Linked DNA regions of Mus musculus. The protein of the gene in region 1 binds, or shares a complex with, the protein of each later gene. Links are inferred from orthologs where the notes say so. Each region holds a gene or a part of one and is shown in the gene's direction. Other genes may lie near its edges.

Evidence for each region. The genes of interacting proteins can lie anywhere in the genome.
Region 2: the proteins of Gnas (region 1) and Hrh1 are in contact, whole or in part, in a cryo-EM structure (PDB 9LRB), measured with the Homo sapiens proteins. The link is inferred for Mus musculus from reciprocal best matches to the Homo sapiens genes GNAS and HRH1. Residues at the interface, in NP_000507.1 of Homo sapiens: Gln35, Arg38, Ala39, His41, Lys216, Val217, Asn218, Phe376, Cys379, Arg380, Asp381, Ile383, Gln384, Arg385, His387, Leu388, Gln390, Tyr391, Glu392, Leu393, Leu394; in NP_000852.1 of Homo sapiens: Asp124, Arg125, Ser128, Val129, Gln130, Pro132, Leu133, Arg134, Leu136, Lys137, Arg139, Thr140, Ile213, Ala216, Val217, Gln219, His220, Cys221, His223, Lys412, Ala413, Gln416, Leu417, Cys471, Asn472.

The regions. Positions count from the first base shown.
Region 1 is NC_000068.7:174,337,073-174,343,912, forward strand, and holds part of Gnas (protein GNAS), read left to right. Parts: intron 1-548; exon of another isoform or gene 549-1,018; intron 1,019-4,577; coding exon of another isoform or gene 4,578-4,580; coding exon 4,581-4,635; intron 4,636-4,737; coding exon 4,738-4,857; intron 4,858-6,127; coding exon 6,128-6,225; intron 6,226-6,840. UniProt on the Homo sapiens protein: Guanine nucleotide-binding proteins (G proteins) function as transducers in numerous signaling pathways controlled by G protein-coupled receptors (GPCRs).
Region 2 is NC_000072.6:114,394,952-114,402,362, forward strand, and holds the start of Hrh1 (histamine H1 receptor), read left to right. Parts: upstream 1-2,984; 5' UTR 2,985-3,047; intron 3,048-3,134; exon of another isoform or gene 3,135-3,468; intron 3,469-7,411. UniProt on the Homo sapiens protein: G-protein-coupled receptor for histamine, a biogenic amine that functions as an immune modulator and a neurotransmitter.

The DNA.
Region 1 (6,840 bases):
CCAGTTCTCCATTTAAACCAACAGACTTGCCTTTCAAAACTGCTAAATTCTGCCCACACAATGGTCAGTCTGACTTTAAGTTTTCAGACCTATTTGGAAAAAAATAATCTTAACTTATTTCCTCAATTAAAAAAAAATATGCCTAATGCTGCAGCCCTTAGGCAGCAGGCCGTTGACAACCTCTGGCCTTAGAAATTATTTAAAAAAAAATTTAACTGTTAATGCAAGGCACTTTACGTTACCCAGCGAACAAGAGCATTTGTGACGGCACCCCACTCATTATCATTGTTTATTATTTTGCTTTCTCATCCCCACAACCATCTCATGCCCACACACATACGCACACGCATGCCAGACATCCATGCAGCTCCATTCGCGCTCACTAGCATGCAGGATGCAGGGGCTGTTTCTCATGTCAATCCATAGAGCAGCTTCCAGCCTAGAACATGGACGAGGAATGACTTCTGAGACCGGGCACGGGCGGGTCAAAGGATCTGGGGGTCGGGGACAAAGTGACTGACACATGTTTGTTCATCTGTTTCTTTTAGAGTCTATTACCCCCACTAGATGATGGCTACAGTCCTCCATCTTCGCTATGTCCTACCCCAGTTATCCCAATTTGCATGCTGGAATTGCCCGGTCTTAGGAAACTACTAATAAGAATACTATTCTGTTTTCCTGGGGATGGGGGGGGGTGGGGGAGGGGGGAGGGGTCCCTAACCTAACCTTTAGGCGTAAGTTAAAAACAGAAAGATGGGATGAAGTCTTTAATTGGCAACAGCATAGTAGAACAGCAATCAGAAAAGGCATCGATATATTGATAATCTACTGTACCAAAAGTTGGCATCCGAGAAGTGTGGCAAGCCCCTACTGAGAGAGCCTCCTATATATTGTGTGCTGTGCTAACCCCTTCAACCTTACTAATACCTGCACGTCTTTCTTCCTATGACTCTACAAGTAAAAATAACTATTAACGCTCCTGATAAATAAAACTCTCTGCATGTTTCAGCAATCCCTGTATCTTGCGTCTGTCTTCTGTCTGCTCTTTTGTCTGTCTTTTCCCCACAAGCACAAAGATAGGGTAGAGAGGAGGAGGATGGGTATCACATAGCCTTCCCTTACCACTTAACAGGAGAGGGGCAGGACCTACTAAACAAAATGCTAACCCCACTAATCTGCCTTACACTTTGGGGGGGGGGAGCGGGGAGGGGAGCATCATCCTATAGATACCGCCCACTCCAACTTTCCAGTCAGTTAGAATCCCGAAACCGGGCACACATCTTGCCTCTGTTAAGTAGTTTAGAGACATCTAAGGAATTTTCTCTGAATTTCACAATCAACGTTAAATTCATTAAGCAGTATTACAAATGAGGATAAACCTGCTGGCCCCAGCAAGATGGCTTCATCTACATAGTAATCTCTTCAATGAAGAGGTTTGTTTTAGTACTACACGCCCGAATTAGATTTTAGATTTTCTATTTTAGCTGTTTTATACTGGATACACTCCCACACCTATTCACATACGTAGATGAATGCTGAACACGTTCTCAGAATATCTGTATTTTAAGACTGGAAGCTTTCCAATTATCATACTACTACTTAGAACGAAATATCAAGCTGAATGGAGACTCTTCCCTGGGGAAATGCTTCCTTCTACCTGTATGTCGACGGGGGTAGTTAATACCCAGCTAGCCTCATTTCTTTTTGTTATGGGGCCTTAAAACCAGGCATCTGGGGCTCAGTACCAATGGCAGGAAGCCATTTTTTAAAAACAGAGTAGATTAGCCCCAAGGCAGGATAGGGGAGGCTCCTCTGAACTCTCCATTAGAGTACTGGGGGCATCAAACACATGCTTCTAGACTCCGACATCTATAGCTAGTCCCAGAGTCTAAAACCAACTCAGAAATGCATAACTTCAGAGCTGAGCTTCAACGTGCGCCGCCCCTCTCACACCGTAACAGAATCAGCCCCTCTGAGGGTGGGCACGCCGTGTCTCTAAAACACTGGGTGGTACCTGGAGCTTTAAGAGTCTGTGGGCCCCAAGCAGCTTTTGGGTGTGTACAGATCCCACATCCTGAGTGCTTGCCCCAGCCCCAGGATAGCCCCTCCTGCCTGCAGTGGCCATGGGGACTCAGGGTTTCCTCTTGCCTTCTTTTCCTGTTCTGAGTGGTGGGCTTGCTCTAATTACAGTGTGGAGCTAGAGGCAGCTTGCAGGGGTTGGGCTCTGATTTTCCCACTGTCATGGCCATGTCAAAATCCTGGTAGCCGAGCTCTCGCCCCCTCCCTCCTGTTGAGAACACCCCCAACCTCTAAACCTTGCAGGCCCTCACCTAAGAGATGGACACCAATAAAAAATATATAGTGAGATCATTCAGAACACAGGGCCCCTCCCAAAATACACAAGCCTGCATGGAAAGAAAGCCCCAAATATCAGCTATGATAAGTCTTTGTTGAAAGAATGGGTTCTTTGGGTGTGGTCCTATTGGTGGGCATGAACATGACCCCCATATTCCCACTCTATTGGCAGGCACTCACATGGCCTCAGACCCCCAACCAATTTGCAGGCATGCACATGACCCCAGAACCCCACCCAACTTACAGGCATGCACATGACCCCCAGACCCCCACTCTTGGTGGGTACCCCAGAAACCCCCAGATCACCACTATTGGTGGGCACCTCCAGATTCCCATCCCTTTGGTGGGTATCCACATGATGCCAGACCCCTACTCTATTGGCAGGTATCCCCATGTCCCCCAAGTCTCCACCCTATTGGTGGGTATGCACATGGCCTCACGGACTCCCACCCCATTGGTGGGTATACATATGACCCCCAGACCCCCACCCCATTGGCAGGAATGCACATGCCTCCCAGACCCCTACCCTATTAGGAGATCTACATGCCTCCCAGACCCCACCCCATTAGCAGATATCTACATGCCTCCCAGACCCCACCCCATTGGCAGATATCCACATGATCCCTCAGACCCCCACCCCATTGGCAGATATCCACATGACCCCCAGGCCCTCACCCCGTTGGTGGGTATCCACATGACTCCCAGAACCCCACCCCATTGGCAGATATCCACATGCCTCCCAGACCTCCACCCCATTGGCAGATATCCACATGATCCTCCAGACCCCCACCCCATTGGTGGGTATCCACATGACCCCCAGACCCCCACTCCATTGGCAGATATCCACATGATCCTCCAGACCCCCACCCCATTGGTGGGTATCCACATGACCCCCACTCCATTGGCAGATATCCACATGACCCCCCAGAACCCCACCCTATTGGCAGGTATCCACATGCCCCAAGATCTCTACACCTCTGTCAGGCACATGGCCCCCCAGATCTCCACCTGAGGCCTGCCTGCCACCCCTCCTGGCTATAGTAGCCTCTGGTCCCCATCTTGCAACTTTACTAATTAATTTTCTACCCTGTTCCATGGGGAGGGGGCGTGATTTAACTTTCGCTATCTTGTGACTTCAATTTAATGTCAGTAAAAGCACCTCTGCCCTACCTCTGTCACTGCCACCTAGTCCTCTACCTCAGTTTCCTTATCAGAAAGGGTCTGTTCCTCTCCAATGCCCTGTTCTGTGCTACCAGGCCTCACCCTGAGGGTGCAGTGCATGCTGGTCTTCTAATCCCCCATTGGCCATGCAGAAGATTAGGCTCAGACAAAATGGAGTCTGCTCCAAGCAGGGAAGTGGGGCTTTGCTGCTCCCCTAAGTACAAGCTCGAGATTCTCTATGGCTGTGCCTGGCATATAGGCTGTCTCCTAAAAGACACAGCATTTTGAACCACTGTAACCTCCATAAATTAGCATTCCTTCTGGGGGGGACACCATCCACCCCCAAAACCAGAAGATGTGACCTGTGACCTGTGGGATCGCTGACTCTGACTGCATACAAATCATCCCAGAAAGGCCACAGAAGTTATCCCAGAGGCTGGTTTAAATAAGCAAACATCTAGCCAACTCCTCCTCCAGTATCCATGAACCCAATGCCCACCAACAATGTGGGGACCCAGGACTCCTAGCCACAACTGGGGGCCTGTTCAAAAGTGCTGTGAGCCACAGAACCCCAAACAACATCTTCCCTCCCTGGTGACAGATGCATAGATACTTAAATAATTAGATCTACAAATATGGAAATGGAAAACCCTAATATCAATAATAAACACTTGTCACCTCTGGGTCTCACAAACTACTGAATCCCAAGTTCAGCATGTACTAACCCTACCTCCATACAACCCTCCCTGTGCTAATCAAGAGCCACGCAGGAAGCAGCAGGGTGTGGTTGGAATGGACAGTAGACCAGGTGCAATTTCTGGTCCAGTTAATCAAGATCTCGATGCCATGTCTCTAACCCAGCCTTATCAGGCCTGTCCTCAGGACATGATTGGGAAATTATGATTTATTTTTATTTGGATGCCTTCAATCTATAGATCTAGCCCACAATTCCTTGGAAAACAGAATACTATGCTTTTTAGTTGACGTGTCTCAATGACGATAACACCCTGGTGGGCAGGATGCAATATGATTTTCTTTTTTTTTTCCTTTCAATCCCACTGTAGTGAGAAGGCCACTAAAGTGCAGGACATCAAAAACAACCTGAAGGAGGCCATTGAAGTATGTGTCTAGCTCCTTGCTCTTATCTTTTAGCAAGCCCCTCGCCCCACGGTGCTGCCCCCCCCACCCCCACGCCTGACCAATTTGCTAAACTGTTTTCAGACCATTGTGGCCGCCATGAGCAACCTGGTGCCCCCTGTGGAGCTGGCCAACCCTGAGAACCAGTTCAGAGTGGACTACATTCTGAGCGTGATGAACGTGCCGAACTTTGACTTCCCACCTGTAAGCTCCACCCTAACCCTGGTTTCCTCTGCCCCTCTCACCTTAGTCCCAGTGGGAACACGAGGGCCAGACTTGCATCAGGCCAGAGTGACCAGACACATACCTGCCGTGTGAATGCATAAGTTAACTCCAGGCATATGCCTAAGACTAAAGGATGATAAAGACATGATTAGGGCTTTGTCCAAAATGGATGAACAAAGTTCCATCACCTTTTCTAGACCTCAACCTAGTCCTCCATTTATCAGATAGTGAGTTTTTTTTTATGGAGGAGAGGTCCTGAGCTAAGGCAAGCTCAATTATTCCCCTCATACACATGAGGACAGACAAAACCACATGTTTGTTACACATGGCACACAAGTCCTAATTGTCCAGTTAATCCAGCCTAGTACAAATATGCACCTTCCAATGTTCAGATCTAAACATAAATTACAAAATGGAACATTATAAGAAAAAAATTGTTCTCATCAGCCCTTTGCCGGGAGCCTGACCCTCTTGACAAGGGTCTCTTGGCTTTCTAAAAGCTTTTTTTAGAGAGGGTAGAACTGCCCTGCGTCAAGCATATGTACACTTTAACCCTTCGTGGGGGGAGCAAAGATTTTTAAAGCCAAAAGAAGAGACTTGTCTAAAGTTAAGAAGTCATTGCTGCCTCTTCTTAAGCTTTTGTGGGGTTTGTGTTTTTTAGATGGGTTTTGGCTACAAACTTGTGAGAAAAATTAGTACAGGCAGGTACATTAAAAAAAAAATAGCTGTTGATTAAAACAATAAGAACAACAGCAACAGCAACAACAAAAACCAACCCTCCCAACAGGGAAACACAGCATGGATTCTATAGTCATCTGATTCCCATGATTCACAGAGACAAAATGGCAGCCTACCCACAATGCATCTGATGTCATTGACATCTGCTACTCTGATATCTGGACAATATTCTAACCTTGGCCCATGTCCCTCCCACAGGGTAGTACATATCCCTCCTGTACACATAATTCTAGGGGGAGTTTACTCATTTGGTTTGCTCCCACCCCTCACAAGACTAACAGAAGCAGCCACCCAAGACTGTGAGCACTCCCCAGAGATGAAAGCATGCTAATTCATTATATAGATTTCTGGGAGTTTAACAGAACTGCAGGCTCTTTCCAAGCGCTGGTTAACCCGGGGGCTCACACTTGGACTCACATAGCGAGCGATGGCCTTAGAATTCCAGGGGTGGGGTCCCTGATTGGTTTGAGCTCAGTCTGTCAGCCAACGTTTTTCCTGGGTTCTCTTTCAGGAATTCTATGAGCATGCCAAGGCTCTGTGGGAGGATGAGGGAGTGCGTGCCTGCTACGAGCGCTCCAATGAGTACCAGCTGATTGACTGTGCCCAGTAGTAAGTAGCTGTCCCCCCATGGCAAAACAGAAGCTCAGAAGCCAGGAAGCTACAAACCCACCAGTAGTCAGAGAGTTCCAGTCTGGTTCATTTGTTTTATAAAGCTTTTAATTGCACTTTATAGACCACTGATACTGTTTTACATAAACAATTAATACCTGCTAGAGCAAGGCAAAATACTTACTTGTAATAAAGTGGTATAACTCACGGATATGAACTCTAAGCATTTAGGGGCGCACACAGTGTAGCAAACACATACTGGCCTCCTCATATAAAATACACAGACTTTTTATTGTTCAGTACCTTATAAGGCACTTCAGCTTCATGATGGGAGGGGGACAGTGACCCTTTCCTAGGCTCACTCTCCCATGGGGACTTGTTGCTACATATATAGCATGTCATGACTTAATACACACAGTTATATATTCTTTCAAGGAACTGAAAAGCAGCCCCACAGGCCCCAGCCCCCACACCTCCTCCAGCAAAGTTCCTGATTTTTCTCAAAAGTTTGTACTAAAAGCTGGAAGCACTAATTATAGAAACAGAAAACAAATGGAGATCCTGGAATTGTTTGTGATTTGTATTTTGGATCCAATTCAGGAGTTAAGTACAGAT
Region 2 (7,411 bases), on another chromosome or scaffold:
AGGACAGCCTGCTCTCTCCCCACTCTGGTCCTGTAACATGCACTTTGCTCTCTCAAACCAAGCAGAGGAACAGTCAAGCAAAGAGCCATCTTGTCTAATCTGGGCAGTTTCATAAGAACAGCTTTGGGGGTCTCTCAGCACCCAGAGCGTGCTGTCCCCTGAGGAACTGGCTGACGTAAGCTCTAATGGGTGGGAGCTGATTGGGCACTCTGCCCAGAACTACGTTGTCTAGAGCTTGTGGCATGACTTGAGAGCCCAACATAAGTGGTACTCACTTCCTCTGGGTTGGGAAGGCTTTGTGAGTTTCCAGTCTCGTCTATGAAGGCAGTCAGCTCCCTCCTCACCAGTGTGTGTGGGTGGGGGGGGGGGGAGAGGGTTGGTGGTGGTGGAGCTGCAACTTGACAGCTGACAGCTTCCAGTGGGATTTGTACCCAGTCAGTCATGTTTCTATGGCTGACAAGGTTGGGGTACCTTGGACAAGTCCCTTCTATGGATCTTCCTCAGTTTCCCTATGTGAATAGGGAGAAGTTGGCCTGGGTTTGGTGAGCCACAGTTCCTGTTTTCCAGAAGAGGAAGGAAGGGAGGTCACTCAGTTACTGAGCACCTACCAGTGCCAAAGGCTGCCCTGACCTACATACACACACAAACACACACACAGATACACACACACAGACACACACCACACACACACACACAGACACACACAGACACACACACAGACACACACCACACACACACACACAGACACACAGACACACACACACACAGACACACAGACACACACACACACACACACACACACACACACTGACCCAATCCCAAAAACAGTTCTGGAGAGAGGGGACTCCTGCAATCCCCAGATCCAATGCCACATTCTGCTCATCACACCTGAATCTGGGGAGCCATCTCTTGCCCTCTTTTAATCTTAAGTGTCTGAAGAGCAGTTGACTAGACCAGCCATCAGCATGTGACTCAGGCTTGGCCAATCAAGAACACTCAGTTTTCTCATTTGCAAACCAGATGAAGACAGAGCCTCCCTTTGAGCTGCTCTGAGAAGCAGGCAAGTTGACTCCTCTCAGGGAAGAGCCTCCACTGGATGGAAGGACAGGAGGACAGGAGGACAAGAGGACTAGCCTTGTTTTTTCACTTGCTACCTACCTCTTGGTAGTTGGCTGACTTCAGCTAGACATGGCCCAGGTTACCCTATGCTCTGTCAGTCACAAAATGACAACAAAATAAACAAAACACAAAACCCAAAAAACAACAGAAGCTTCAAATAATGCCTGATACACTGTTTCTAAAATGCTGATTTTTCTAAAAATCCCATGGGTAGAACAAGACCATAATAGGCCTTAGGAAGTGAAACCTTCTCAAGCAGAATTCCAAGTTATCGGGCGCTGCTGACTTTCAGGAAGAAGAGAGATGATTTCCAAGGCTCTCTGCCATACGCCCCAACTCCTGTAAACTCCACAGCTGTGAAGAGGAAATATCTTGCCTTACAGTTTATAACAGGTGCGATCCTGGTCACTCCTTCAGTTCCAAACAGTGCATTAGTCCCACAAAGTGTAAATATGGAGGCCCTAGAGTAGCAACTGGAAGTAGAACGTGCTGTGGATTCCTGGGCTCCTTGGTCTCTGGAGGTACAGGTCAAAGAGGGTCAGGGTCTGGCAGGGTTGGCACCCAGGTCTGCCAGCTGACCTGAATTCAGCCACCTGTTGCCTGGGTTCCTAAGGGCATTTCAAATGAGTCTGGAGTCCCACCTTCCAGGCAGGCACAGACAGGCTCAAGGTCAAGGGCTATATCGAGGTGCTTACCAAGTAAGCCCTTTGTGTAAAAGACATCATTAACTTGTCCTCCGCCCCTCTGTGTTAAAAACTTTGGCCTTTGGACTTGGGCTGGGTAGGCTAGAAGTGCAGTTCTCGGTGAGGACATGGTAGAAGCTACAAAACCTGCCCATCATCTATAAATAGGGCTGATGACTGCTTCTTTTTTCTGGTGTAGTTTGAGATTTAAATCAGGGCTACGAGGAGGGGACTAAGACATCCATACAAGTCTGGAACTGAGCCACACAGGGCTGGGCCTGCATTCCCACAACTACATACCACTGCGGGAGGATGAGCCCCTTCTAGGGGGCACGGTGTCATAGCAAAGAGGAGCCACTTCCCTTCCTCAGTTGTTCTCCCTTCCCTGACTGTTGCCATCTGAAGCCACAATTGAATGTTAAAAGGGTTTTCCCTAGCAAAGAAGGAGAAACGCCCTCTCCTAGCTCAGAAAAACAAAACCCAAAAAACAAAAAAACAGTTCCTTAAGTTTCCCCAACACACACACACACACACACACACACACACACACACACACAAAAACACACTCTCGCCTTCTCCTCTTAGCCGGCACAGGTTCCTAAGTGTAATGGTACAGTGAGAGTTGAACAAGGTCGGGATAGCTCAGCGCAAGGCCCTGAGTTTCAGCATAGCACTTGCAGGATGAGGACAGGAGGGAAGGAGGGAAAGAGGGAGGGAGAGGGCGAGAGCGCATTCATTCTTCAGGATCTAGAGAAACAGTGGTTGTGCGGTTCTAAACCTCCCGAGTCTTGGTGATCCGGATCAATCAGTGTCACTAATTTAAAAAACAAAAAACCAAAACAAAACCCAAACAAAACAAAACAAAACAAAACAAAAACCCAACTAGTCCCTTGGTCCACCTGCGGTTGAATTTGCGAAGAATCCTGTCAGCTCCTCCTTATCTGAGGTCTGGTCTGTGGCTCTGCGTGTCCCCGGGTTAGCATGCGGTGGCAGTGTCGGAGGGCTGTCGCCAGGCTTCCGATCCATCCTTGGCTTCTTGCCAAGCTCAGGGCTCCGCCACAGATGCGGGGCGCGGCGGTAGAAGATGGGCGGGGGAGGGTGCCCTGGGGCTGCTGGTGGGCGGGCCTCTCAGCGGCTCCTCCCCCGAGGCCGCCTCCGCGTGCTCCCGCCACCCCCGCGGCCGCCTCCGCCACCGCACCGAGCAGTCTGGCCGCCGCCGCCAAACTTTCCCCGGAGCTGGCGCGGGTGAGTCGGAGCGCAGCGCGGGCAGGGGCGGGAACCCGGTGGCGGGCGGCGGGAGGAGGGCAAGGATGCGCGCACGCCCAGCTCTGAGTTCCGCGCCCCCGCAGGGCGGTGGGGACATCCCGCAGGTGGCCGCACGAGGTGGGCGCGCCGGATGCTCTAGCGGCCTGGGCAGGGTATCGGAGCTGTGGCTGCTATGCCCGTAAGCACAAACACCTGTGGCTTCCCGGAGCTGGGGCCGGGCTCACCGGTTAGAGTCCGCCTCCGATTTCTGGGCCAGGGGGCCTCCTCAACGGCTCCCCGAGATTCCTCAGGGTTTGGCTTTGATGCTAACCGTGGACGCAGACTCTGGGTTGAGGTGCGATCTCCGTGCCAAGCTCCGGACATCCACTATCTCAAATCCTTCTGAATCTCCGGGACCCAGGTACTACTAGTATACCCACTTTACAGAGGAGGAAACTGAGGCTTGGGGAGGGAAAGTTGTCTCTTAGAGAACAGCCTTGAGACTGAATTGGATGAATCCAAGCTTCTTAGCTAGGTGGAACCCAAACCAGGTGTCTGGGTATGAGAAGCGTCTGAGCCAGCGCTCCCTCCTTTCCTAGCCGGCTTTATCGTCGTTTCCTGGCCGAGCCAGAAGACTTGATACTGTGGCCAGGGTGTGTTCTGATGGCAGAGAAGATCCTTGAGGGCTGCCTTTTCCCAGAGAGCGTTAGGGGATACCAAATTCTGCAATTTACGCCGTGTTGCTCTGAAAGTTAGAGTCTTGAATCAGAGCACAACTGATCTTTACAGAAGCCACCTTTGAGGCGCTTGCTAGCCTGGGCGATGGAGACACAGGGTTGCTCCAGGCAGGGTGGCTCTCCTCCGACAGGGGGCTCCCACCTCCAGACGGAATGGAGCTGAGGGAACTGGAAGATCCCCAGGCTGACTGCTCTGAGAGCGCGTTCTGTTATTGGGGGGTGGGGGGTGGGGAGGAGGAAGGGCAGGACCCTGAACCAGGGGTGAAGTGTGTTACTGGAACAAAAAGGAGAGAGTAGGTGGAGATCCGACACTCTTGGGGGCCTGAAGGCCACCGGCAATCCTTGGAGACAGAGAAAGAGCCCCCCCCCCCATGGTTATGAGATGGTTATGGATTAACATAGTTTATACAGCAGCCATGCAAGGTACCGTTATTGAGCGATAGGTGGACACTCAGAGAGGTTCAATAGATTGCTTAGAGTTGCCCAGCTGGTCCGTGGTGGAGTGGATTGAGTACCAACCAATCTTGCCTGTATCTTAAATTATCAGTGAGACTCAAGAGGCGGATGGAACCTCAGGTCCTTCTGTGCTGTGGCTGGCAGCGGTGGAGACAAACAATAGAGGGATGCTAGGCAACAGGGTCCGCAGCATCCCTGCTTCTGCCTCCGATGGGGCTCTGGGTGGGTTGCTGTCATTGAGTAGCTTTCTAGGAATCCCTGCTCCGCCCATGTTGATACCCTGCTGTATCTCAGGACTTGCTGGACCTTCCATCAGGGCCACCTAGCTGCCCCCAGAACGTTGCTCCTGGTGGAAGACAGGGTTTGACTGATGCTGTTTTGAAATATGTCAAAGACCCGCAAAACCTGGGTATTCCCCATTTATGATTTCAGAGCCGTGCTGCCTGCCACGATCCTAGCACCCCTCCCCCAACACTGGGCAGTCGTGGCCTGCACGGGGTCCCCAGCCCTGAGCTGAGGGTTGTGGGGAGGCATTTGTGAGTGAACTCTCCTGCCTACACTCCTTTCTATAGTCAAGGAACGCCTGGCAGAGGCACCGTGGCTTTTCCTCAGTACCAAGGCATGGCGGAGAGGTTGAAGGTACATTTCTGGGTCCGGTCATCATGCTGTCTCTTATGCGCCGTTGACATATATCTGTTTCCCCATGTTTTGATTGGAGATGTTCATGGTTCCTTCTTCCCTGCGCGGGGGTGGAGGAATTAACCATGCCACATTGATACAGCACTGCAAAGATACCTTGTAATTCACCAAAGTAGTAGCAGCAGTTGTCACTGTGACACTGACAGACCCAGCGAGGCAAGCCTCTGAGCTCCTGGACATTGTGCACCCCTTGCTGTGTTGGTTTTGTTCTGTGATGCTGGGAATCCACCTGGGGAGCCTTGTTCGTGCTAGACAAATACTCGGCCACTGAGCTACATCTCTAGCCCCAAGCCTCATGGCTTTCTCAGCTGTAAAAATGGGGCAGATCTAGTTAGATGTTGTATATGGTAAAAAGGTCCTTCTTGTAGCCTCTAATTCTAACAGGTAGAGGACTCCTCAGCCAGCCACCTCAGGGCCAGGCCCCGGGGACGCTCCAGACATTGCTGTCATTCTCACTGCCACCCAGACCTGTCTCCTTCTCCTGGCAGGCTCAGTTCTGTGCTCCTGTGTGGTATGGATCCGGGGCGGTATTCAAACACATGTTTTCTAAACGGATGTGGTCAGGCTGGGGTGGACTTGGGGAGTCTTGGATTGGAGGGCCGAGAAGTTGTTTCCTGTCTCTCAGCCTGGACTTGAACTGTGTGGTCATTGCTTGGGTTCTCCAAGGAAGAGGCACGAGTTGACAGTCACAGGGTTAAAGGGCATGTGTGAGGTCTATTGGTCTATTTCACAAGATCTGGCCACAGCTGTCCCAACAGAGGACACCAGCCACTGCCTCTGGGTGCGTGCGGCTGGCTGTGGGGATACCACATGCCTTCCGAGCAAGGAGAAAGCATAAAGAGTTCTGCAGGCTCTCCCTCCCAGGGAAGCATACTGAAGGTCGAAACTCATTTTCGTCCCTGAGACCTGAATAACCGTGGACTCCAGTATCCTCATCTGTGAAATGGCCATGAATCATCCTTACCAGTGTCTGTTTCTCAAGATTAACTCAGATAGACAGGCAAAGAAAGGACGGGAAGAGTGGGGGGAGCGGCTGGAGCGTATAAATGGCAAAGAATTACATGCAATTGTAAATAACTCTCATTAGCATTCAGGCTGGGCATTAGCTGTAACTGCTCCTGATCCAAGACGCTTTATCTGAAAGCCGTACCTGGCAGAGGATCATTCAAGCCCCAGTCACCCGCTGCCCTCTCTTTCACAGTGATGCGGAGCATTGCTGAGTCTCGGGATGTAATTATAACAAAGCTTCTGTATCTTACTTATAAGTGACTCACTTCTGCCATTAATGGTGGCAGAGGACTCAGCCACACACTCTTAGGAGACAATGCTCCTGATGCTGCTCAGGGTGGGGTAGGGAGTGGGGTGCCTCGCCTTTTGTGTGCATTCATCAATCCCTTAGTAATTCTCCAATGATCCTGCAGGAGGATCACATGGACCGAAGAAGCTAACAGCTCTCACTTGCTTTCATGGCAAGGGCCCTTGCACCTTGTTTCAGCTAGAAGAATGTGCTAGCAACCACTGTGTCGTTAAAGAGGATGGAGTGGGAGAGGAAGATGAAGGCAACTCCAGAGATGAGTTGAAAGTGTAGCCACTGGCGTCAACTGGAGTTGAGTTTGGATGTGGGGGTCTGCCAGTTCATCTGTGAGGTTTGGATGGGTTTCCAACTAGAGGATGACTCTGTAGAGCAGGGACGGTGTCTTTCTTACGAAAGGCAGTTATGGATGCCTAATGGAGAACTGAGCCTTGGCTTTTTCTTCTGTAGAATGGAGCCGGATAGCACACACCTCCCCTAGGGTTTGCTGTGAGAACTAATTGATGAAATGTTATGACCAGAGTAAAGGACTCAGTGATGCCTTTGGAGAGAGAGACAGATAGTGGAAGGATACTGTTGTCCAGCCTAAGAAATAGAATGTTATTCTCTTACCCACAGTCTACAAAGAAGCAATAGTACAAGCCAGAAGAATGCCCTGTATTTAGACAACACTCTACAAGAGTGTTTTAGTATTTGTTTCCTCCTAACAGGGAGGCAGGAATACCTGTTCTTACTTTCAGGGGAGGAAACTAAGGTTCAAAAGGAGTGATGGAACAGTGTGGATGCTTGTAGCGATTTCTACAAACAAGATAAATACACACCAGAGTCTAAAAGCAGTGTGAGATGGAACCTCAGGTCCTTCTGTGCTGTGGCTGGCAGCGGTGGAGTCAAACAACAGAGGGATGCTAGGCAACAGGGTCCCCAGCATCCCTGCTTCTGCCTTCGATGGGTCTCTGGGTGGGTTGCTGTCATTGAGTTGCTTCCTACAGGAATCCCTGCTCCTCCCATGTTGATACCTTGCTGTGATTCAGGGCTTTCTAGACCTTCCATCCAAGGCTACCTAGGTCTCCCCAGATCACTGCCCCTGGTGGAAGACCAGAGTTTACTGAGTTTAGAGTTTACTCTGATTTCCAAGTCCCCGTTGTTATTGTCAAGCTCCT